Linked DNA regions of Pelodiscus sinensis. The protein of the gene in region 3 purifies or fractionates together with the protein of the main gene of each other region. This does not show direct contact. Links are inferred from orthologs where the notes say so. Each region holds a gene or a part of one and is shown on either strand. Other genes may lie near its edges.

Evidence for each region.
Region 1: the proteins of HECTD1 (region 3) and ras GTPase-activating-like protein IQGAP1 purify together in Homo sapiens (affinity purification with mass spectrometry; 3 studies listed by BioGRID, with this or other methods). This does not show direct contact. The link is inferred for Pelodiscus sinensis from reciprocal best matches to the Homo sapiens genes HECTD1 and IQGAP1.
Region 2: the proteins of HECTD1 (region 3) and SMC4 purify together in Homo sapiens (affinity purification with western blotting; 3 studies listed by BioGRID, with this or other methods). This does not show direct contact. The link is inferred for Pelodiscus sinensis from reciprocal best matches to the Homo sapiens genes HECTD1 and SMC4.

What each region holds. Positions count from the first base shown.
Region 1 is NW_027465934.1:150,208-157,645, forward strand, and holds the start of ras GTPase-activating-like protein IQGAP1, read left to right. Parts: upstream 1-4,394; 5' UTR 4,395-4,399; intron 4,400-7,438. UniProt on the Homo sapiens protein: Plays a crucial role in regulating the dynamics and assembly of the actin cytoskeleton.
Region 2 is NC_134720.1:32,814,936-32,822,681, forward strand, and holds the start of SMC4 (structural maintenance of chromosomes protein 4), read left to right. Parts: upstream 1-4,702; 5' UTR 4,703-4,852; intron 4,853-4,914; exon of another isoform or gene 4,915-5,335; intron 5,336-6,897; exon of another isoform or gene 6,898-6,932; 5' UTR 6,933-6,998; coding exon 6,999-7,128; intron 7,129-7,746. UniProt on the Homo sapiens protein: Central component of the condensin complex, a complex required for conversion of interphase chromatin into mitotic-like condense chromosomes.
Region 3 is NC_134714.1:51,020,445-51,027,475, forward strand, and holds the start of HECTD1 (E3 ubiquitin-protein ligase HECTD1), read left to right. Parts: upstream 1-3,964; 5' UTR 3,965-4,152; intron 4,153-7,031. UniProt on the Homo sapiens protein: E3 ubiquitin-protein ligase which accepts ubiquitin from an E2 ubiquitin-conjugating enzyme in the form of a thioester and then directly transfers the ubiquitin to targeted substrates.

The sequences.
Region 1 (7,438 bases), on a different chromosome or scaffold from region 3:
CGGCTCTGGTGCAGAACGGCGCTGCCCCCCAGCAAAGAGAAACGTTTCCCTGCCGAGGGGGCAGTGCTTTCCCAGCGGGCCTTCGCAATGACCTCCTCAGGCTGAGTCCCCCCCAAGGGACTTTCGGTCTCCACCCACCCAGCCATCTCCAACCTCTCCCCCCAGTTAAGAGCCAGCTTCTCCAGGGGCCTGACTCGTGTCCTGAGTGCATGGAGGAGTCCACATTTGAGCCTCTTCCGTTCCTTACAGCCAGAGGGCAGGGGCTGGGAGTCGTGACGGCTGACCTGACGCCGTGTCCAGACCCTCTCTCCCTTCCTAAGGTAGCCTCCGAATTCCACATCCGTCTGGTCCCCCAGTGGAGACTGTCCCCGGCCTCACTTCTCAAGAGAAGAAACAAGCCTTCGGACGCGGAGAGCAAGGAGACAGAGTAGCCCCAGAGGGCCTAGTCCTGAGGTGAGGCGACTTCCACGCAGACACCCACCTGGGCTTCAGGGTGCACCTGCAGCAGGCGAAGGGCTTTGCTCCCCTTTGAGAGTCATGGTTCACTCCGACAGGGCTCGCTTCCCCTGTGTCCGCTCGGACAGCCCCTGGCATTCTGCTCTTGCAGCTTTCGGTGCCCGTGTCTTATGACCTGGACTGAATCCACCTCCTCAGCACCACCCTCCGTGCTGCTCAGGGATCTGCCCAGAGACTCTACTGGGAGGAGAGGTTGCTAACCTTGTATCCGGGTGGGCAAGTTCTCGGTCCCGGCCACATCCAGCCCACCACGCCACTGCATCCGGCCCATGGACACCTGCCAGGACCCCCAGGCCTGCAGCAGCTGCTGATTTAAGTGCAGGGCTGCTCCATGTGATCCCCCCCCCACACACACACCACCCCTATCCTCCGCTCCTGGTGGCTGGAAACAACCAGCCACTAGGAGCTGAGAGATTTGTTTGGGGGACAGGAGCAGCGCAAGCTGAGCGCCACATGGAGGGAACAGCCTGTATTTTCAAGAGGTCTGGGACTGCAGCCAGCAGGGAGCCCAGCCTGCCTCAGGGGTGCTGCAGGGCTGCTGGCTGGAAGATGCTTAGGTGCCTGTCTCCCAGCCAGAGCCTGCCTCTGGCACCCTGCCCCTCCTGCATCCCAACTTCCTCCCCCAGGTCACCGTCCAAACCCTCTGCATCCCCCTGCCCCAGGTCACAACTCCCTCCCAGACCCTGTACCCCCTCCTACACCCTCCCTGACCCTACACCCAAACCCCTGCCCCGAGTCTCCACCCCCTCTTCAGCCAAACTCCACCTCAGACCCCACACCATCTCCTGCACCCCAGTCCCTTACCCCGTGCGCCCTTCTGTACCCATCCTGTATCCTAGACCCCGCATCCTCTCAGAAAAGTGCGGCCCTTGACCACTTTCCAAAATGTTGGAATGGCCCCCTCCAAAAATGATTGCCCACAGTAAGAGCAGCGCTTTCAGATGGCTCCCTGGGGTGCTCCACCACCCTCTCCGGGAGAACTCTCCCATTGCAAAGGAGCTGCAGCAGTGACCGACTCGCCCCCATGCAGGGTAGAAGCAAGGGCCCATGGACACAGCTGACCGAACCTCTCTGGCCCAGATTGCAGGGCGTGGGTGCTCGTGCGCCAGCTGTCGCCCAAGGTGACTGGCGTCTGCTTGGGAGAGGGAGGAGCTCTGCTTTCCAGAGAGGCCAGGTTCATGCAGGGCTGCAGAGCATCTTGTCTGCATGGCGCCAGCTCCATGTGTGGGAGCTGGTCCCCACCTGCCGGAGTCCGCATGGAATTTCCGCATCCGAGCTATTTGGCGGGACTGCTCCCCGCCAGGCATGCTGGGGGGTAGAGCCTCTGGCTGCTTGAGAGTGGGGAGGGGAGATCCAGGGGTGTGCAGGAGAGTGCCCTGCCGATGCTGGCCAGCCCGGAGGCCCTGCGCAGACTGCCCCCTGCTGGCGCATGCAGCTTGCCGAGCCGGGGGTGTGCATGGACTGGCTTTTCCTTGCCGAGCCGGGGGTGTGCATGGACTGGCTTTTCCTTGCCGAGCCGGGGGTGTGCATGGACTGGCTTTTCCTTGCCGAGCCGGGGGTGTGCATGGACTGGCTTTTCCTTGCCGAGCCGGGGGTGTGCATGGACTGGCTTTTCCTTGCCGAGCCGGGGGTGTGCATGGACTGGCTTTTCCTTGCCGAGCCGGGGGTGTGCATGGACTGGCTTTTCCTTGCCGAGCCGGGGGTGTGCATGGACTGGCTTTTCCTTGCCGAGCCGGGGGTGTGCATGGACTGGCTTTTCCTTGCCGAGCCGGGGGTGTGCATGGACTGGCTTTTCATTGCCGAGCCGGGGGTGTGCATGGACTGGCTTTTCATTGCCGAGCCGGGGGAGTGCATGGACTGGCTTTTCCTTGCCGAGCCGGGGGTGTGCATGGACTGGCTTTTCATTGCCGAGCCGGGGGTGTGCATGGACTGGCTTTTCATTGCCGAGCCGGGGGTGTGCATGGACTGGCTTTTCCTTGCCGAGCCGGGGGTGTGCATGGACTGGCTTTTCCTTGCCGAGCCGGGGGTGTGCATGGACTGGCTTTTCCTTGCCGAGCCGGGGGTGTGCATGGACTGGCTTTTCATTGCCGAGCCGGGGGTGTGCATGGACTGGCTTTTCCTTGCCGAGCCGGGGGAGTGCATGGACTGGCTTTTCCTTGCCGAGCCGGGGGTGTGCATGGACTGGCTTTTCCTTGCCGAGCCGGGGGTGTGCATGGACTGGCTTTTCCTTGCCGAGCCGGGGGCGTGCATGGACTGGCTTTTCCTTGCCGAGCCGGGGGTGTGCATGGACTGGCTTTTCCTTGCCGAGCCGGGGGCGTGCATGGACTGGCTTTTCCTTGCCGAGCCGGGGGTGTGCATGGACTGGCTTTTCATTGCCGAGCCGGGGGTGTGCATGGACTGGCTTTTCATTGCCGAGCCGGGGGTGTGCATGGACTGGCTTTTCCTTGCCGAGCCGGGGGCAGAAGGGGCTGCTCACGGTGCGAAGAAAGCGCCCGTGTGTGGCGATATTGGCGGAGGGGAGCTTGCAGAAATAATCTGGTTTCCCGCAAGGGGCCCTTGCCACCAGCAAGGGATGAGGAAATGGCTGTTGCTGTGCAGATGTGACTAGAATTAGCCTTGGTCTCCTAGCAACAAAGACTATAAGAAGAGGCAGGATCACTTCGAGGGAAGAGGGGGTTGGACAAACCAGGCGGCTCTGACAGAGCCCCTGCTGGAGACCTCGCTGGTCTCCTTCCTGTGTCTGCTAGAGCTCACCCAAGGACCCAAGCCTTGGCCTCCGACAGCCCGGCCGTTGTGGTGGTCTGTGTGGAGGGTCTAGGGCATGTTTGTAGCTAAACACGGGAGAGGTGCGTCTCAAAAGCCAAGGGAATTAAAAACCCCAGTAATTCAGTATTCACTTTGGGTTGCGAAGAGGGACCTACCGATCTTAAAACCACTTCAGTTAGAACATTGTACGCGGAGCCAAGAAGAAAAGACATTCGCAGCTAAAACCAGAGGATTGCAGTCCAAAGTGTCCAAATCTTGGCTAAAAACTTACTTTTTAACTCAATGAGATATTGCCATAGATGGAACAGAGCTTCCTATGGACTCCGGAGATGGATAACGTCTGTATTGCCTTCAGTTTCTTCTCTCTCAATTTCTTGAGCCAGCTGCGTGAGTTCTCTCTAAAGAATCAGAGATAAAAAAGAAGCTAGAAACGTTTGCAGCAGGGTGTGTCCCGTTAGCGTGGTCAAAGCAAGTGGTAGAATGAGCTGCGGAAGGTGAAAACACCTGCCTCTCAAAGAGGGTCCAAGCTGTCCTCCAGTGAGTCGTGGGGAGAACCAGCCGGAGATGATGCATCCAGATGGGAGTTGTCCTCCAAGGGCTCCAGCGCTTGCTCATGTGCATTCCCCAGTGGGGTGCGTGCTGCCCTGTGCAGACTGTCCCCTGGCGGCCCATGGAGTGGCACCTCTGTGGTGTGATAGCCGGGCTGCCGCGTGCTCCCCCTCCTCACTGGGGATGAGCCCGTGATGGGGCACGCGACTGCTTTGCTCCACTACCCACTGTAGCCGCCTTCATTTTGACTCTTCCTTGTTTTGTGTAGCTGGATCCCTGCTCTTGTAGGACACGGCTAGGCAACGGGGGGGGGGGTTCTGGCCCCCTTTGGGACTTTGCCTGGGTCGGGGCATGCCCCAGTCTCGGCATTCAAATCTTGTGACCCCCGCAGATACCTGTGCCAGTCAGTGCCCTACACGGGAGTTGTTCGTGCTGCCTGGGCAGAGCTCTCATCAGCAACAGCTTCAGGAGTGGAACATTTGGCTCCGTGCCCTCCTGCTGGAGCCAGCCCTGACTCCGGCGCCGGTGCACTCACCCGACATGGCGCCAAGCACCGACGCCTCAGACCACTGTGCTCCTTTGGAGCTGTCTGCCTACACCCGAAGAGGATGGTGCGGGTCCCTTTGCTGCAGCCCCCTAAGCAACAGGATTAAGTCTGTGGGCGAGCCCCACGTGGACCCACATCAGGCAGCTCTCGGCCCCCTCTGGTTCACAGGTCCAGCTCGTAGAGTGGAGCAGCCGGACAGGAGCGGGACCCTTAGCCACGCCAGAGGGTCTGCTAGTGGCACAAGACACATTGGCTGCCGGTGCCAGCCCCCCTTGAATCCCTGTCCCAGTGGCAATGGACTCAGTCAAGGGAGGAGTGGGCACCCCGCTCTGGCACGCAGCCGCCAGGAGTCAGATCGGGGTAAGCGAGCCCCGCTACCCCCCTCCGCTGGGCAGAGTCCCACGGCACGCGCCACTCACCCTGACCAGGATCTCCTAAGTCCACGGGCCCATCTGAGCAACCGTCCGTACGGGCGCACACGGGCACCGCGCCTGCTCGCACAGTGCGTGGCGTGGATCACCGGCCACAGCGGTTCCAGGAGGAGCCTGGTCCCCGGTGTCAGCCTCCAGGACACGAGCCTAGAGCTGACCCTGACGTGCCTACACAGACCTCGATGCTGTAACTGCTGCTCATACACCGGCGTTGCAGCCGCCTAGGGCGCTCAGACTGCGCCAGACTAGCCCTTTCCAGTGGGGCCTACCATGGCTGGCGGGCACCGTGTTCACCGCCCCTCCCGCGTTGCCTGCTTGGCGGCTGGGGCCTGGAGAGACCTTCTGCTTCTCTCCGCCCCGCAAGGGTCCCTCGGCGGAGCAGACGCCTCCGGCCCCGCAAAGCAAGGAGCGAGCCCCGGGACCAATGGAGGCACTGGGCCTCCTCGGCGTCGTTCCCAGGCGAAGCCATTGCAGCAGCCCTGCAGGAGGTCAGCAGGGGGCCAGTGACAGGCAGTGGAGAGCTCTGCCCCACGGCACCGGCTGGCTGTGGTCCCTGAAGCACAGTGGCAACCCCCCCGTGCCGGCCAAGGGCCGGAAGTGCCACCTTCCTGCCAGCTCCTCCGTGGTGGAAGCAGAAACCACCGGGAACCAACCTGCAGTGACCCTTAAAATCGAGACTCTAGGACACCAGACTTGCAGACGAAAACTTGATTCCTGCCCCGTTCCAGCTGAGTGGCAAACCCCAGAACCCTGCTGAGGCAGCCCGATGCGCCCGTGTTGCAGACTGTGCCTATATCCAAGCGACCGCTAGGAGGGAGGAGAACACGGCCCGCCCGGAGGAGACCTGGTGGCAAACCCCAGAACCCTGCTGAGGCAGCCCGATGCGCCGGTGTTGCAGACTGTGCCTATATCCAAGCGACCGCCAGGAGAGAGGAGAACACGGCCCGCCCGGAGGAGACCTGGTGGCAAACCCCAGAACCCTGCTGAGGCAGCCCGATGCGCCCGTGTTGCAGACTGTGCCTATATCCAAGCGACCGCCAGGAGGGAGGAGAACACGGCCCGCCCGGAGGAGACCTGGTGGCAAACCCCAGAACCCTGCTGAGGCAGCCCGATGCGCCCGTGTTGCAGACTGTGCCTATATCCAAGCGACCGCCAGGAGGGAGGAGAACACGGCCCGCCCGGAGGAGACCTGGTGGCAAACCCCAGAACCCTGCTGAGGCAGCCCGATGCGCCCGTGTTGCAGACTGTGCCTATATCCAAGCGACCGCCAGGAGGGAGGAGAACACGGCCCGCCCCGAGGAGACCTGGTGGCAAACCCCAGAACCCTGCTGAGGCAGCCCGATGCGCCCGTGTTGCAGACTGTGCCTATATCCAAGCGACCGCCAGGAGAGAGGAGAACACGGCCCGCCCGGAGGAGACCTGGTGGCAAACCCCAGAACCCTGCTGAGGCAGCCCGATGCGCCCGTGTTGCAGACTGTGCCTATATCCAAGCGACCGCCAGGAGAGAGGAGAACACGGCCCGCCCGGAGGAGACCTGGTGGCAAACCCCAGAACCCTGCTGAGGCAGCCCGATGCGCCCGTGTTGCAGACTGTGCCTATATCCAAGCGACCGCCAGGAGAGAGGAGAACACGGCCCGCCCGGAGGAGACCTGGTGGCAAACCCCAGAACCCTGCTGAGGCAGCCCGATGCGCCCGTGTTGCAGACTGTGCCTATATCCAAGCGACCGCCAGGAGGGAGGAGAACACGGCCCGCCCCGAGGAGACCTGGTGGCAAACCCCAGAACCCTGCTGAGGCAGCCCGATGCGCCCGTGTTGCAGACTGTGCCTATATCCAAGCGACCGCCAGGAGGGAGGAGAACACAGCCCGCCCGGAGGAGACCTGGTGGCAAACCCCAGAACCCTGCTGAGGCAGCCCGATGCGCCCGTGTTGCAGACTGTGCCTATATCCAAGCGACCGCCAGGAGGGAGGAGAACACGGCCCGCCCGGAGGAGACCTGGTGGCAAACCCCAGAACCCTGCTGAGGCAGCCCGATGCGCCCGTGTTGCAGACTGTGCCTATATCCAAGCGACCGCCAGGAGGGAGGACACGGCCCGCCCCGAGGAGACCTGGTGGCAAACCCCAGAACCCTGCTGAGGCAGCCCGATGCGCCCGTGTTGCAGACTGTGCCTATATCCAAGCGACCGCCAGGAGGGAGGAGAACACGGCCCGCCCGGAGGAGACCTGGTGGCAAACCCCAGAACCCTGCTGAGGCAGCCCGATGCGCCCGTGTTGCAGACTGTGCCTATATCCAAGCGACCGCCAGGAGGGAGGAGAACACGGCCCGCCCCGAGGAGACCTGGTGGCAAACCCCAGAACCCTGCTGAGGCAGCCCGATGCGCCCGTGTTGCAGACTGTGCCTATATCCAAGCGACCGCCAGGAGGGAGGAGAACACGGCCCGCCCCGAGGAGACCTGGTGGCAAACCCCAGAACCCTGCTGAGGCAGCCCGATGCGCCCGTGTTGCAGACTGTGCCTATATCCAAGCAACCGCCAGGAGGGAGGAGAACACGGCCCGCCCGGAGGAGACCTGGTGGCAAACCCCAGAACCCTGCTGAGGCAGCCCGATGCGCCGGTGTTGCAGACTGTGCCT
Region 2 (7,746 bases), on a different chromosome or scaffold from region 3:
AGTGTGGAAAGGGAGATAATTAAAGTGAACATACTAAGCCATTTAAAGAACAAGTGATACTAGAACTGCTTAACTGTAATAATTTATGTTGAAATTGTGCAACCTTAGAGAATACTCTGACATTAGGCTTGCAGAATCATCTTTATGAATGGTCTGGAATCACAAACCACCTAAATGCAAGAAAAATCAGAGAGAGAAACCAGAGTATAAAGATATCATGCCTTGTCAATACAGGGTAAGGATAATTGCTGCTAATACTTCCTGAAAGCTTCCCACTAAGATCTTGTTTTCAGTTGCTTACAACTTGCCAAACTTTAACTATACCGACTAAAGCCATGGTGTCCAACACTCTAGTCACTAGCCACATGTGGCTATTTGGCCGGTTGAGTGTAGCTAGTTCGCTATAGCTATAGCCACTATAGCGGCTACTGTTTCAGAACTGATTGGACACTAAGGGACTAAAATTTTCCATCCTAGGTATCTGCCTCAGATTTTTTTTTTAAATAAAGTTTTAATTAGAACCATTTAGCCATTTCCAAGAATGAAACTATGAGATAAATGTTATTTTGTCCACGTTTAAAATAATACTACAAATGTTTTGTCTAGAAGCTCTATTACCTCTATGCTTTCAGGCAAGGATTTGACATTTGGGTGGATAAGGTATTTCCTTGGTGTCAGGGATGTGACATTTGCCACCCTCATGAAAATTTACCCAAGTCTGATCAAGTTATGAACCTCAAAACTGTTGCACAAGCTCAGTAGACATTTGTTTGAGTATGGCACAAACTCCAAAGCTTGTCTCTCTCACTGACATAAGTTGGTCCAATAAAAGATGTTCTCACCCACCTTTTCTTTTTAAAAAAGATGTTAGTTATCATAAAACCCACAAATGGTACTATGCACATTTATTCATTAGGAACTGGACTGAGACCAGTGTTCCCTATGTGTTTGTGTGACTGCTCAGGAGAAATTCAAATGTTACCTAGCTGGTTAGCAAGAGTGCTCACAGCTGGCTTTTGTTTCTACTGGTTGTGTACATGCCTCGATGCACATACAATTATTCTGTACCAGGCTGGAAAAAAAAAAATCACATGTGGATGGGAAAAAAATTAAAGGGCATGTTGATTGAGACCACCAAAAACTTTCAGAGGGCAGTGTATAGTATTTAGATACCACTGTTAGTCACTACAACTTTGAATTTAACCCAGACACAAGCAAACGTTAAGTACAATGAACAATAAAAGATATCTTAAAGGCTTGAGGCTTTTGGCTCAGAGAAGGAGGATGTATCTTTTCTTTCCTCTAACACTGTAAAGCAAGGATGAAGAGGATTTTAATGGAAGGGGAGGAATGGGCTTGAATTCTCTTCTCATCAGCAACACTATCTGAAGGTGTCTGATAAAAAGATCATCATAGAAACAGTTAATAATAGTGCCTGACAGCATTAGGGTGTCTCACCACTTAGATGAAGAGACAGCAAGGAGCCCAGTGGCAATTTAAAGTCTAACAGATTTATTTGGCCACAAAAGCTTATGCATGAAGAAATGTGTTCACTGGTCCCCAATGCGGTGCCCGCAGGCGCCATGGCGCCCACCAGGGCATTTATGTGCGCCTGTCGAGTGACCAGGGCCTGCCCAAGCCATTCTTGCACCTCCAGGTGCGCGGCGCATGGGCGGCCCCCACCCCGGGCGCGCGGCAGTCCCAAAAGATTGGGGACCACTGTGTTAATCTTTAAGACGCCATAGAACGTATCACTGTTTTTGCAGTCACATACGAATGCAGCTTCCCCTCCATGTTGAAAGTAATAGAGAGGTAGTTGTGTTAGCCTGATCTTTCCTTTAGCTTCCCGCTGATACGTAAATGAATGTGCTAGTTCATATCTGTATACTGCTGTTTTAGGTGGCCCATTTGCAGAAGCAGGAAGTTAGCACTTCATTAATTCAGATTATTTTTCATTCAGGTGGTATTCTTTATAATCATAAAATCTAAAAATTACCTACTGTAGGCTTTTTTAATGTCCAAATAACACTTTTCTGTCTACAGAGACCAAGTCTTAATATAGCCAGGGTCAAAATTTAGAATGTGAGCATGATTTGAAGCCTCCAATTAATGAATAGAATAGTTTTATACCCTCTCCCCTTAGTGACAAAGGATTCTGTCTAGTGAGATTTTGCAATATCATGACAAACTAATTTAAATCCTAATCCCATTAGGTACTTGGAGCGGAGAGGACTCAGTAGAAGGTGCCTCTCCGAATTGGCTCCTTAAACCGTCTCATCTTTGTGCAGCCTGGTATTTTAGGTCTAAATATGTGATAGATCTCTAAATACACAAAAAGTCACCATACATTCACAATGTATTTTATCAAACCCTAATTTTTTTAAGACTGCCATATTTAATTTTCTCTCTAAATAATCAAGCAAGGAAGTTTGTGTTATGCAAATGGTATGTCTGTGATTGCATTTGAATTATAGGACAATAGACATTGTGGATGTAAGCGACTAGTTGACTACCTGATAAGCATATGGTCACTTCCCCGCACCCTTGCTGCTTCTATTAGAGAGGCATCAGGGGTGGGGAAGGTGAAAGAAGAAGGGGAGGAAGAGCACAGGAGGCAGAGGCAGAGGCAGAGCTGATTCCCAGCTTGCTCCTAGTCCCCCTTGCTGCACCTCTGCTTTTTAAATGTATTAAGAGCCCAGCAGCTTTTAATACATTTAAAAGGCAAAGCCGCAGTACGGCTCTGCAGTTTTTCTCCTTATTGACTAGTCAATGGAATTTCCACTGACTACTTGACTAGCTGATTACCCACAAGTTAACATTACCCTAATAGACATTAATAATTATGAAAGAATGTTGCTTTAACTAGTCCTTTTTTTGGTATTTGTAAGATTTTTCATTTGAGTATCCTGAACTAAGGATGTAAAACCCCATTTATGTTTAACCAGTTAACCAATTAAATGAGCATGGGTGGGGCTGCTCCAGATGGGCTGGGGCAACCCCCACCAGTTAACTGTAATCATTTAACCTTTAACATCCCTATCCTAAACTCTAACAATGTTTTTGTTATTAAAAAGAAACTTATTAATAGCAACAATTGTTCAGAGAGATACCAGCAATATTTTATCCACCGTTGGCCCCACTACAGAGCTCAGTGTTTTACATGCTTTCCCCCACAGTCCGGCCTCCTGCACAACTTCATTTCATTATGCCCCAGGCAGAGTCCTGTACCTATAATAACCCACATAAACCCCCTTACATAGCTTAATCCCACTCTTCAACATATTCCATGTTCCACATTACACTAGATTTACCCAGCCTTTTTCAGGTCCTTAAAAGCCAGTTTCCTCCCCCAGCACTGTCTCCACAGTAAGTGGGAGGGGGCGGGAAGAGGCAAAAGTCAGGGACCTGGAGTGAGCCGGAACTGCTGAGTCCTGGCTTGCACCAGGTTCTGCACCTACCCCGTTGTGGTTCTGCCTTTTAAATGTAGTAAGAACAGACTACATTAGCCACTGCTTTAGAACTGGTTTGACACCACGGGAGAGAGATCAGCAATTCTACCGTTCCCTTCCTTCAAGGCAGGCTGTGGGGGATCGCGTAACACAAACTAGGATAAACTGTTCCCTTAGCTCTTTCTTGGCGAGGCTCCTCCCTCCCAGTTTCCCCATAGAAGTTATGGGCTGCCTCTCCAGTCCGTTGCATTACAAGGTTAGAGGGCTTCTCCTTCCACTTTCCCAGGACAGGGTATAAATGCTGGAATTAAGGGTAATGCTATATCTCCTTGAAGTAGCTTTCGTTTTATACGGAATTTAGTTTGTTTCAATAGCTTTCAGCAGCCCCACTATAAAGATTGTTCCTGTGTCGCTGGTGCTCCGGCTAATAGTCACTCCCAGCCCAGTTAAAGGGAGAGCTGGAAGGGCTTCCCCCTCTTATCAATTTACCTGTCCAATGAAGCTGGTCCGTCTAAGGGGTCTAAATCCGGTTGGGAGAGCGGAGGGCGTGGAGAACCCTCTCCAGAGCAGGATCCTGTCGCTGGTGCTCCGGCTAGTAGTCACTCCCAGCCGTAGGCAGCTCCCAGCCCCTCACGGATTTGACAAACTTCCTCCTCCCCAGTTCAGGCTGACCAAGAACTCCTGACGCGGGGGGGAGGGAATGAGGGAACTCAACGAGACCACTTACTAGTCTCACTCCTCTCCGCGCTGCTAGCCACTCCCGCAGAGAAGCTGCGCTGTCTCTATAGCGACTTCCCGCGACATTCCTGCGCGTATCCCCGCGCGAGACTTCCGTACTTCCCCCCTCCACCTAACGGACCCTCCCAAACCAGGTGACAAGTCGCTGACGTCACCGCACCCGTCTGTTAATATCTTTTAAAAATATTAAATGTTCTTTGTTAGTTTTTTTAAATCTTGTTAAATTTCGTCCGCTATCGCCTCAGGCAGTTACTAAGCAACCGAGCTCCTCCCGTTAATCCATCGTCTGATTTAAATTTGTAGGATTTTTCCCCGTTTAGGCACCTTTCAATAACGGTCTTTTAGTTTGCTTTAAATTAAAAAAAATACCAAAACAATGTAAATGGTTTTATTCTATTAGTACCCTGCTCCGCGCAATAACGGAAAACAATATGGCGCCGGAGGACTTTTTTCCTCCTTTCAAACCTGTGGGAGGCCGAGGGCCGTCCCCCTCTGTACCCAGCATGCTTCGCGCGTTTCTAACGAATTTCGGTTCGAGTTTAGCGTTTGGGCGCCATTTTCGAGTGTAGAAGCCGCCAAGCTGCAGCAGGCAAGAGCCGCACTCTCCAGAGCCAGCGTCATCCGAAATCTTGGCGGGGTAGCTGGCCGCCTGCTCCGCGTCCCAGGTACTAGCTCTGCCCGCTGACAGGACTGCGAGGCTTGGGGCGGCTCGACCAGCAGCGCTTCCAGCAAAGTACCTAATAATTTGGGGACAGGTGGAGCTGGGGGGCTCGCTTCCCTGTAACTGGAGCTGGGGAACCTCCCTATGGAGCCTGCCAGGGGGAAAGCTGTAGATTTCCTACGTAAGCTGCCTTGGCGGGAGCAGGGGCGGTGGTCTTAATTTCCCCCTCCGTTTCTTTTCCATTCCCCCCCACCCCTTCGGGAGAGCGAAAGACGGCGGCTCCTTTTCCCACTTCTGTAACCTGCAGCCCCGCGGGGTGGGGCGACTGTCGTACCACCCCATTGTAATTTGCCCTGCCCGAGGACTCCTCACCGTATAGAAGAGATGTGATTCTGGCCCCCGGGCGGCGACCTCTCCACCAGGATTATATCTAGCAAATCATGGGGGGGGTTCACTGCAATCTATGGAACAGAGTGGATTCCCCGTTGTATCCTTATGTACCTATGGGGACCTATTCATCAGATACCAGTCACTGGAAGGGGCACAGTAACAAGTTTGTGATATAGTTTCTTGAGAACTTCAGAGGCCTGGTTTTTAAACTGTCTTTAGACTAAGGACTTGTTTATAATTTTATTTTCAACTATACTCTGGGGAAACTCCTATAGATTCAGAACAAGGGGCTGTGGGGAGCTTAGGATGACTGGTTGATTTCAAAACAATTCTCAGGGAGATGTACAGCACAGTCTCTTCTCGCTGACATCAGTTATTGCCCTGAAATTGAATCTCTTCCAAATGGGGAGTCGTCTTTAAAATTCCCTGTCGAAGTGAGACTTACACTTAATTGCAGGTCATTAAGTGTTGCTTTTAAGAAACACATTTTTTATTTTTTTTAAATGTCAGGGCTTTGGGTTTGAGCATAAATACTTATTAGATTATCAGGGAGTAACTAGTTAGTTATTCATGTTTGGCAAGATGATCCAGATTAAGATGCTGGGGAACTCAGATTTAAAAGATTATTACAGTTATGTTGTAAATTACTCTCAATCTATTTTCAATATTTTTGTATGTTTATGCTATTCAATTTCAATAAGTGTAAAAACATCTGTAGAATTTATTATAAAAAATGGAGGTAGCATATACTCAAATTGCCTTAAAATGAATTCATCTTCTATCTTTACACTTCTTCATGGGATCCCCTTTCTCCATCCCAAATGAAAGACTCGGGGTGGGGGATGGACTGAAAATGTCAAATGATTGTCACCCATTATAAGATGACTTTCCAACCATGTCATAAACTTTCTTGCCTGCTTTTTTCCAAGCTAAATCCACCACTTGCTGTGATAGAGTAATTTAGACTTTGGGGGAGAATATTTTACTACTTCAGGTTTCTTGGTTTTCATCTTTCTCCTGAACTACCTTTTATTCTTGGGGGCGGGGGGTGGCACCTGCCAATATGTTCTGTGATGGACTTTTTTACTGTTGTTTTTCTTGATCAAGCATTAACATCAAATCTGTTTGATATTTAATTTGCTTTTCATTTGGTGTGCTGCTTTTAAGTGTGAGCATTTAGCTGCATTTCTAGCAGACAAACATTTCAGTATGTCCTTTGGACTAGAGACTGTCTATACATTGGAAATAGTATTTCAATATTATTAGATAGGGTTACTGAAAATTCTTGGTAGAAAATCTTTAGGAGGGATGTGTATACTATAAAATATGTACTTCAAGTATATATATCTGCGTGGCCTGTTCATTCAGTGTTTATTTCTGAAATAACACCTGTCATAATTTTTCTTTATTTGAATTTATATGTTATGTTTTCATGTTGCCACATCAGAATGTGGATATCAGTAGATGGATGTCCTTACTTAAATAAGTCAGGGCGATAAAGCTAACTTTTAAAGGAACTTTAAAATAATGGTAACTAAGCTGTTTTTTAGTTTTTGTTTGAAATCCTGAGTATTTTTGAAATTCATTTGGATTTTAGCTTCTTAGTAGTCATTTGGAGACACATGCACAGTCATAGCCCTTAACGGGTGATACGCCCAGCACTTGGGTCATGGGGTTTTTCTTGTTTGTGTTAGCAAAGGAGACATATCCCTTGGGTAGTTTGATTGCTTGGAATCGGAGGGGAACGGCCAGCAGAAAGCATGCCAAGCAAGAGCACCAAAACCTCCACTGCAGCCCGTCAAAAAGGGAAAGAACCCTTGGAGGAACCCACCAGTGATATGGAAGTGGGAAAAGAAGCTGACACAAGCCTCAGTGAAGCATCTCAGCAAGGTAAGTGTTGATATGATTCTGATGTACCCTGCATATAAATCTAGTGATGATGTGTCTTGATAGGAGCTTGCTGAACTTAGGGCTGCTGCAGTTCAGATTCAGCTTCTTTCTAGGAAGGGATATTGTAATTTTATTTTGACAAATTTAATTTAAATTTGATTTTAAAACTGCAAATATGGTTTTGAAAGAGTTAAGGAGTTTGCATTGGTGCTTTAGTTTAGGTAAAAATGCTGTTGTAGCGATGTTTCTTCCAACTAAGCCTAGATTTCATATTCTTACTACATTGTCTTACAATTGTGATAGCAGGATTATTTTAGCTACATGAAATCCCATATTGTGGGATTTATCTGGGGTTAGAGTATGTGGCAACTACTTTACATTCTTCAAATAATGACTTTTAAGCAATTATACCCTACATAAAATTTGTTAGTTGATTTTCTGCTGGAAATAAAAAAAACCTTTCAGGTAGCCATGTATGTGATGTTATTTTAGTAACATGTTTGATAAATGGTTAATATGTGGAAAGTGATGTCAATAGTTGTCTACTTAAAGAAAAAGTTGCTTTTAACAGTTGAAAAATGGTTTTACTTAAAACTATAATTGAAAACCAAGGGGCCA
Region 3 (7,031 bases):
TGAAATTCAAATTGTCATGTTTGCAAGAGGCTAGTTATGCAACATGCAACACACCCACTGTATCCATGAATCTCTATTTTTGTAGGCACTCACCAGTTATTTCCAGAAAAAGCATAATATCGGGTATTACATGCACAGTAGCACCATTCATATTTGGTGCCACTCATTTGGATTTGGTTCTTCAAAACTGACCCTTGAAAATCAAAATTTTCTAAAAACTCTTCGGGTATGTCTACACTACCATCCTAGTTCGAACTAGGGTGGTAATGTAGGCAACCGGAGTTGCAAATGAATCCCGGGATTTGAATTTCCCGGGCTTCATTTGCATCTTGCTGGGCGCCGCCATTTTTAAATGTCCGCTAGGGCGGACTCCGTGCCGCGCAGCTACACACGGCACGGACTAGGTAGTTCGGACTAGGCTTCCTATTCTGAACCACCGTTACTCGTGAAACTAGGAAGCCTAGTCTGAACTACCTAGTCCGTGCTGCGTGTAGCCGCGTGGCACGTAGTCCACACTAGTGGACATTTAAAAATGGCGGCGCCCAGCAATATGCAAATGAAGCCCGGGAAATTCAAATCCCGGGCTTCATTTGCAACTCCGGTTGCCTACATTACCATTCTAGTTCGAACTAGGGTGGTAGTGTAGACATGCCCTTCTACATGGTCAGTTATCTATATATTTTAGAAATGTGCATCCGTGTGTGTCTGTCCATTTATGTGTCTGTTCGTTCAAGAACTGCTCCTAAACTGTAGGAACTAGGATCACCAAATTTGGTATGCAGCTTCCACCTATCCTAATTTAAAGAAAAGTTAGGATTTGGTTGTATCCAGAAAGTGTCAGGAATAGGACTCTTTTCCATGACATGGAAAGGGAGGGGCACAGAGAAGAGAATACTGAAAGTGGCCATCAGGGGCAGTAAGCATGGGGGAGAACTATACTGCACAGTGGACACTTGCACAGCTGTACCACCAAGAAAGTAGCCATCAGACAGGAGCTCTGCCATCTTGCCTGCCACCAGATTGGGTAAGTAGCCCCCCTCATCCCAAACCATTTCCTCCTCCTGGCTCTTGGCCAAAGTCCATGCTGGTCAGAGGGGTTGGGAGGAGATAGAAGGCCCCGGGTGGCTGGCAGAGGTGGAAGACAGAAGGCTCTGGTGACTGTGGCAGCTGGAAGAAAAAAACATCCCTGGTGGCCAGGGGGAGAGCAAAGGTCTGTCCCAGATGGGTCCTCAGGCTTTGAGACCCGCCTTACCTCCAAGCCCTCACTCTTGCACTTCCCTCATCACCAACCTCCTGTGCTCCCTCCTGATGCACTAGGCCCTGCTCTGAGTCCTGCATCCCCCACATGACCAGGTCCCTGCCCTGAAGGACCCAGGCAATTCTGGGTAAGTCTGCTATAAATTCTCATTAATATATGGGGATTAGTGCATGCAGTGGGTTTGTCACATACTATATGTTACTCTAACTGTTCAGACCATCATATATATTTTGATATTTTTTAAATATTTTTCTATTTTTCAACAAATTCTACTCAAGTAATGAAAAGTGCATAAATATAAACGGAGAGAGAGAAGGAGTTTGGCACCAGTTCACAGATATGTTTTGTATATGAATGAACTGTTCTTGAACTACATCAGTTTCTCAGGTTTTCCCAGCAGTCATGAGTATGGTATCCAAATTTTCCTGTCCTTTGAACGGCACCTAGTTTCAAACTAGTTTTTTATTTCTTTCCCCCCCTTAAGTGCCACAACATAGTTCTGCTCTGTTACAATTGTACCTTTCCACTGATTTCTCTCAAAAACGAATGAGAGTAGCATTTAGCTTCTAGTGTTTAGTGACTGCATCAGTCATTCAAGCTTCAAGGGCCTGAAATCGATTATTCTTTTTTCTGTAGCGTGATCTTCAAAACTGGTGAAGAGGGCATAGTTGCATCACTGAAAAAGCATTTGGAACTAGCAGTTTTTGGGGCAACAGAAGCTGCATCTCCAATAAAAGCTTGAATAGACTGGGGGGAGGCTTAATCCTATAATATGAAACAACTATTAACTGATGGAGGTGTTGTCTTTCTTCTTTAACAGTCTAACCCTTTCACATGCCACCAAGATTTATTCATTGCTTGGATTTAGTCATGAGACTGGGAGCCACTGTTCTTCATTGGATTCCAGTCATGAGTGAAAGGAGCAAAATATAAATAAAAAATAACTCATTTCTTGAATGACTTTATGGTTCAGAGTGGTCTCTACTCAATTTATATAATTAAAAAATTGGGTAGAAATTCTAAAGTCTGGGATGTAAATCTCCTTCTATAATCTTCCTTGGATTTAGATTACTAGCAATCCTTGTACTGGAGGGAATTCAGATGTAACCTATTACCTGGGGGTTAGGTCCATCAGACAGATGATCAGGTACATAAAGCCTGTATCAGTAAGTGAGCAGGAGTGAGACTGCAAGAATTAAGGTTATTCTTGCATTTCCCAACTTTTGAATGCTTGATTTTATCCCTTTGACCCTTTTCCTACCCACTGATTTGTACAGGATGACTTCTAAATGTATGCAGAGCTCCAGAGGTTTCAATGGGGTTCTGTACAGGTGCAGGGCTCTTAGCAGGATCAAGTTCTTAACATTCTTCTTTTAAGATAGTGGACTTTAAAGATAATAGTATAAAAATAAATATTTGTTACAGTATAATAAAAAGATGACTACTGATCATGGTTATAAGATGATGCCATACCAACATATCAAAATGAGAAGTGTAGGTGGAGTTAGAGACAGATGTTTGAGTTACATGTTTTTAACAAAAACAAAAAACTGTAGAAGGCTTTTAAACAAAGAAAACAAAGGTTCTGAGAATGCTGCTGAGACAGTCTCCTGACATAATTAGAACACAACTTTGTCTTGTAATACAGACAGGACTTAGTCATGAAGCATGATACTGCTGTGTAAAACATAAGACTGTAGGAGGCTTCCAAAAAACAATGAAAACATGATGTGCAATTTATGGTTTGGGCTGAACTACACTATAGCTATTGTGAGGAACTTTACTCAGTGAGAACTAACACTGTCAGCCCAGTAAACAGAATAAAAAAGGGTTTTTTTTAATCTTTTATAACAAATAACACTCTGTTCAAAACTCCTCTTTTCTATTCTCCATTTCTACCCCCACCTCTTTTTTGTTGTTGACCATAAAGTCCTATGAATGAGTGTTTAATTTATTGTGGGTGCCTGGCCAAGCAAATTGAGATTATAAACTCATTTTTAGCCATGTTCCAAAGTGCAGAAATGTATTTAGTCTTGAAAAAAATATATTATTTTGTGTGTGTGTGTGTGTGTGTGTGTGTAAACATCCACGTGTGTGTGTGCGTGCATGTGTGTTAACTATCTTTACAAAAATTCTATGATATACTTTGTTTTACAGAGGCTGTAAACACTTTTTGCTCTAATACCTCTATCACAGAATTTGGGGAATAGGAGTCTTCTACTCAGTAGAAATCGTTTTCTGAGGAACATCGGCTGTGGGTTGTGGGGGCAGTTGAGTTCTCAACCTGTTTTTCATAGGTCTATATACTCTGTTATTTTTTTCAACTCCCGCCTCCTACCCTCCAGCTGTCCTTAATTTGTAGGAATAATAAAATTATATATAATATTCTACATGCTGACAAAACTCCCTTCTTCTATCTCCATCCTTCCCAAATTTTTCTGACATGAAACCCACTGAAAGAGGGGTTTCACTTTAAAAAAATAAAAACAGACAAGCACTTTCATTACACCAGCTATACTATATCACTCAGACACACATCATGTCAACATGAGTAATCAGAGTGTTTGAGCAACGTCACAAGCAACCTTTCACACAGTTATTGTTACAACAAAATTGCACAAGACAGATCATGGTAAACACACTGTGTTTTAGATCTGACGTATAGTTGCTCTGTAGTTGCCAGAAACATTGCAAACATTAACACTTACTTCAGGAAAGCCAAGACGTTCACATGGCATTCTAAATACAGAGCTTCACCAGACAGGGTTTTATTTATGGAAAAAAGAAAACATTTATTTTCTGGATGAAAATATGGCTTTAGAAAACACTTCAAAGGCAAAGAAGACTAAATAACGAGTATTTGTACAGCAAAACTTAATTAGCTGGCAAAACCAGTAAGTATCTGACCTTGTCAGGCCCCTGTTATTGCTCTGATCTATTTAGTGCAAAATAGTTTGATATATTTAGAAACGTCTATTTCCCACGTGTACAGAGCCGGGCAAGGAAGTTAAAGAAAACACATTTTATATGTTTCTAGGTCAATTTAAAATTTAAATAGGGGAGTTGTTTTTGCTAAAAGAGCTAATGACTAAATTTGTCTTAATGCTGTGTGTCAGGGTGATGTTAACAAAAAGTAGATAAATTATCCTTGTGGCTCTCTCTCTCTTTACTTTCAATTTTGGCAAGGTAACTTCCTATGATCAAGGAATTTTGTCTTCAGTCTAAAATGTTACTAATCTGAAACTTTGTACAGAAAATGGCCTTGATAATAAAAGGCAAAAATAAATTTGTTAAATTGTTTTTTCAGTTGTACAAGGAAAATATGTGTTTCTATGACCTCCCATTGTTTGACCCCACTTCTTGCTAGACGTTTATTTTCAGATAGAATATTTTGTACTTATGGAACACTGTCTGAGTAACAAATAATGTTTCACAAACATTTAGCCTGGTAACAGCCTTCTGAGGTGGTTATTACTACTCCATTATTATTTCATAGGTGAGGAAACTGAGGTACACAAGGGTTTAGTCACTTGACAAGGTCAAAAGGAAGTATGCATCAGCACTGGGATTAGAATTTAGGTATAGTTCCCAGTCCATTTTCCAACTAGAGCTGGGTAAACAATTTGTATTGAACCTTTATTCAGATAATATACACTTTATTTTCTGGTCATGAACATAAAGGAACATTTATAAACTTGCTCATATTTCATAACTGTTTGACTATTTTTTGCAAGCAAATTTCAGCCTGTGGATTCAAACATTTACAAACTGTTCACTATGATTGTTCCTACAAGCCTTTTGATATTCAAGCTATGTGACTTGTTACCCAGTGACGTATTATTTCTGATCTGTGTCTGGATAAACAAATCTTTATAATTCTGCCTTAAATTAGTTTAATGATTAAATAAAGGGCTTGAAATTTACTGAGTAAATATTCATATGAACAGAGTTTTACGCCCAGGAAACTTCACTTAAATAAATAAGTATGCAAAAATGATTGAAGCAAATAAAATGTTTTTACAATCACCTTGAACTAGTTTTGCACTCTAGCCAATTTTATCTCATTTTCTATATTAAAAAGCAATCAGTTTTGAAGATGGAGCACATTTAACTTTTTGTGATATCTGGAGACAGCTTGAAACAATAGCTGAGACTGCTGTCAGCTGTCGCATTTCATTTCAATTGGGTGTTTACTCTGAAGACTAATGAAAATATTTTAATTGTCAGTTGCTGACCAAGGCACACAAATAAAAGTGTGACAGACTTATCATGATACTTTAAAAGAGAGATAAGCTATGCGTAGAGCCCTGAGTGGATACAAGATTTGCATCCACATCCACAAAAATGAGCTATGGATATCCCCACTGATGTCCTAAAATGTACATATCTGCGGATATAAAGTGAATATCGCAAATTTTCAGGGTTCTAGCCACAAAATGTTATCTATCTGCATCCATATCCACAAAAATGAGTTGAGAATATAGAGCAGATATCTGCAGATTTGCAGGGCTCTAACTATGGGAGTCTCAACTGGATTAAGTTTGTGTAAGAACCACTCCTTAGTTTTTTTTTATTGTATTCTAAGGAATAAGAGTCACATGTTTAGAAATACAAAACATAAAAACTGAATATTCTCTGACGTATTAAAGACTTGAGAATGAAAAGTTTGGTTGGTGTCTGAAGTAGTACTAAGTCTCTTGGCACTATACTTTAATACATTAAAATAAATACAAGCAAATCAAATTATGAGATATCAGATGAGTTAATGAACATAATCAGGAGTACATGGATTTGGTTTTAGTATTTTAGGAATGCAGGGTTAGAGCCACAAAATGGATTGAGGCTCACATTTGCAATGGCAAGCTTCGTGCCCTGCTGTGCAATGGAAGCCTCATGTTGATTTGGGCAGCCAAACTCCTGATACAAAGCATGGAGAGAGTTAGGCACCTAAGAGCGGGACTCACACAAGTCAGCAAATGGATTGGGGAGGGGATTAACCTAGCCAATAGGAAATGAAGAGGAGAGTGGCGGAGTCTAAGCCTGATCCATCAAAGGGACTTAGGTTCCTAACTCTGGGCCAGAGGGATTTGTTGTTCAAAAACAGAGATAAAATCCAGTTTTTCATTTTACTTTCAAGCAAGACTGTCTGGGAATAAGAATAATTCTAGAGATGGTGTTTCTTAATGAGTGACACAGAGACATCAGCATGTGACAAGTTCTGTGTGACACAGCATGACTCCCATTGGCTTTATGCCCTCTGTATACACCCCATTCTTCTGATTACAGGAAATGTCTATAATATAGACAACAGTGATACTCAAACCTGCTATAATCTTTTCTTACAATATTTATATTATTGAGCCTCATGTGACTGATTTCCTTACCAGACCTTCATGTGATCCCACAAAGAAGAAAACTATTGTGAAGGCTAATTGTGCATGAATATAGAGATTTTTAGTCTTTAACTCTAAATGTGTAGTATTTTGCTTTATGTTTAGAATTAAAAGAAATAATTGAATAACTATTTAGTGTGCACTGAAGAATTTATACAGGAATATTATTTTCCTATGATAATTTTCAGCCTTAGAGTGGAAAGTTTTGGGGCAGCACTGTGTCTTTCTACCTTAAATGCTACTGTATGCTATATAAAGAGTAGTTCTTCAGAGTAGTGTTGTGAAGAATATTAGTTCATGATTGCACAACACTTTGAAACAAGGGCTATAGAAGTACTAAACATTATGTTCTTAAATTAGGATACCATGATTTACCCTAT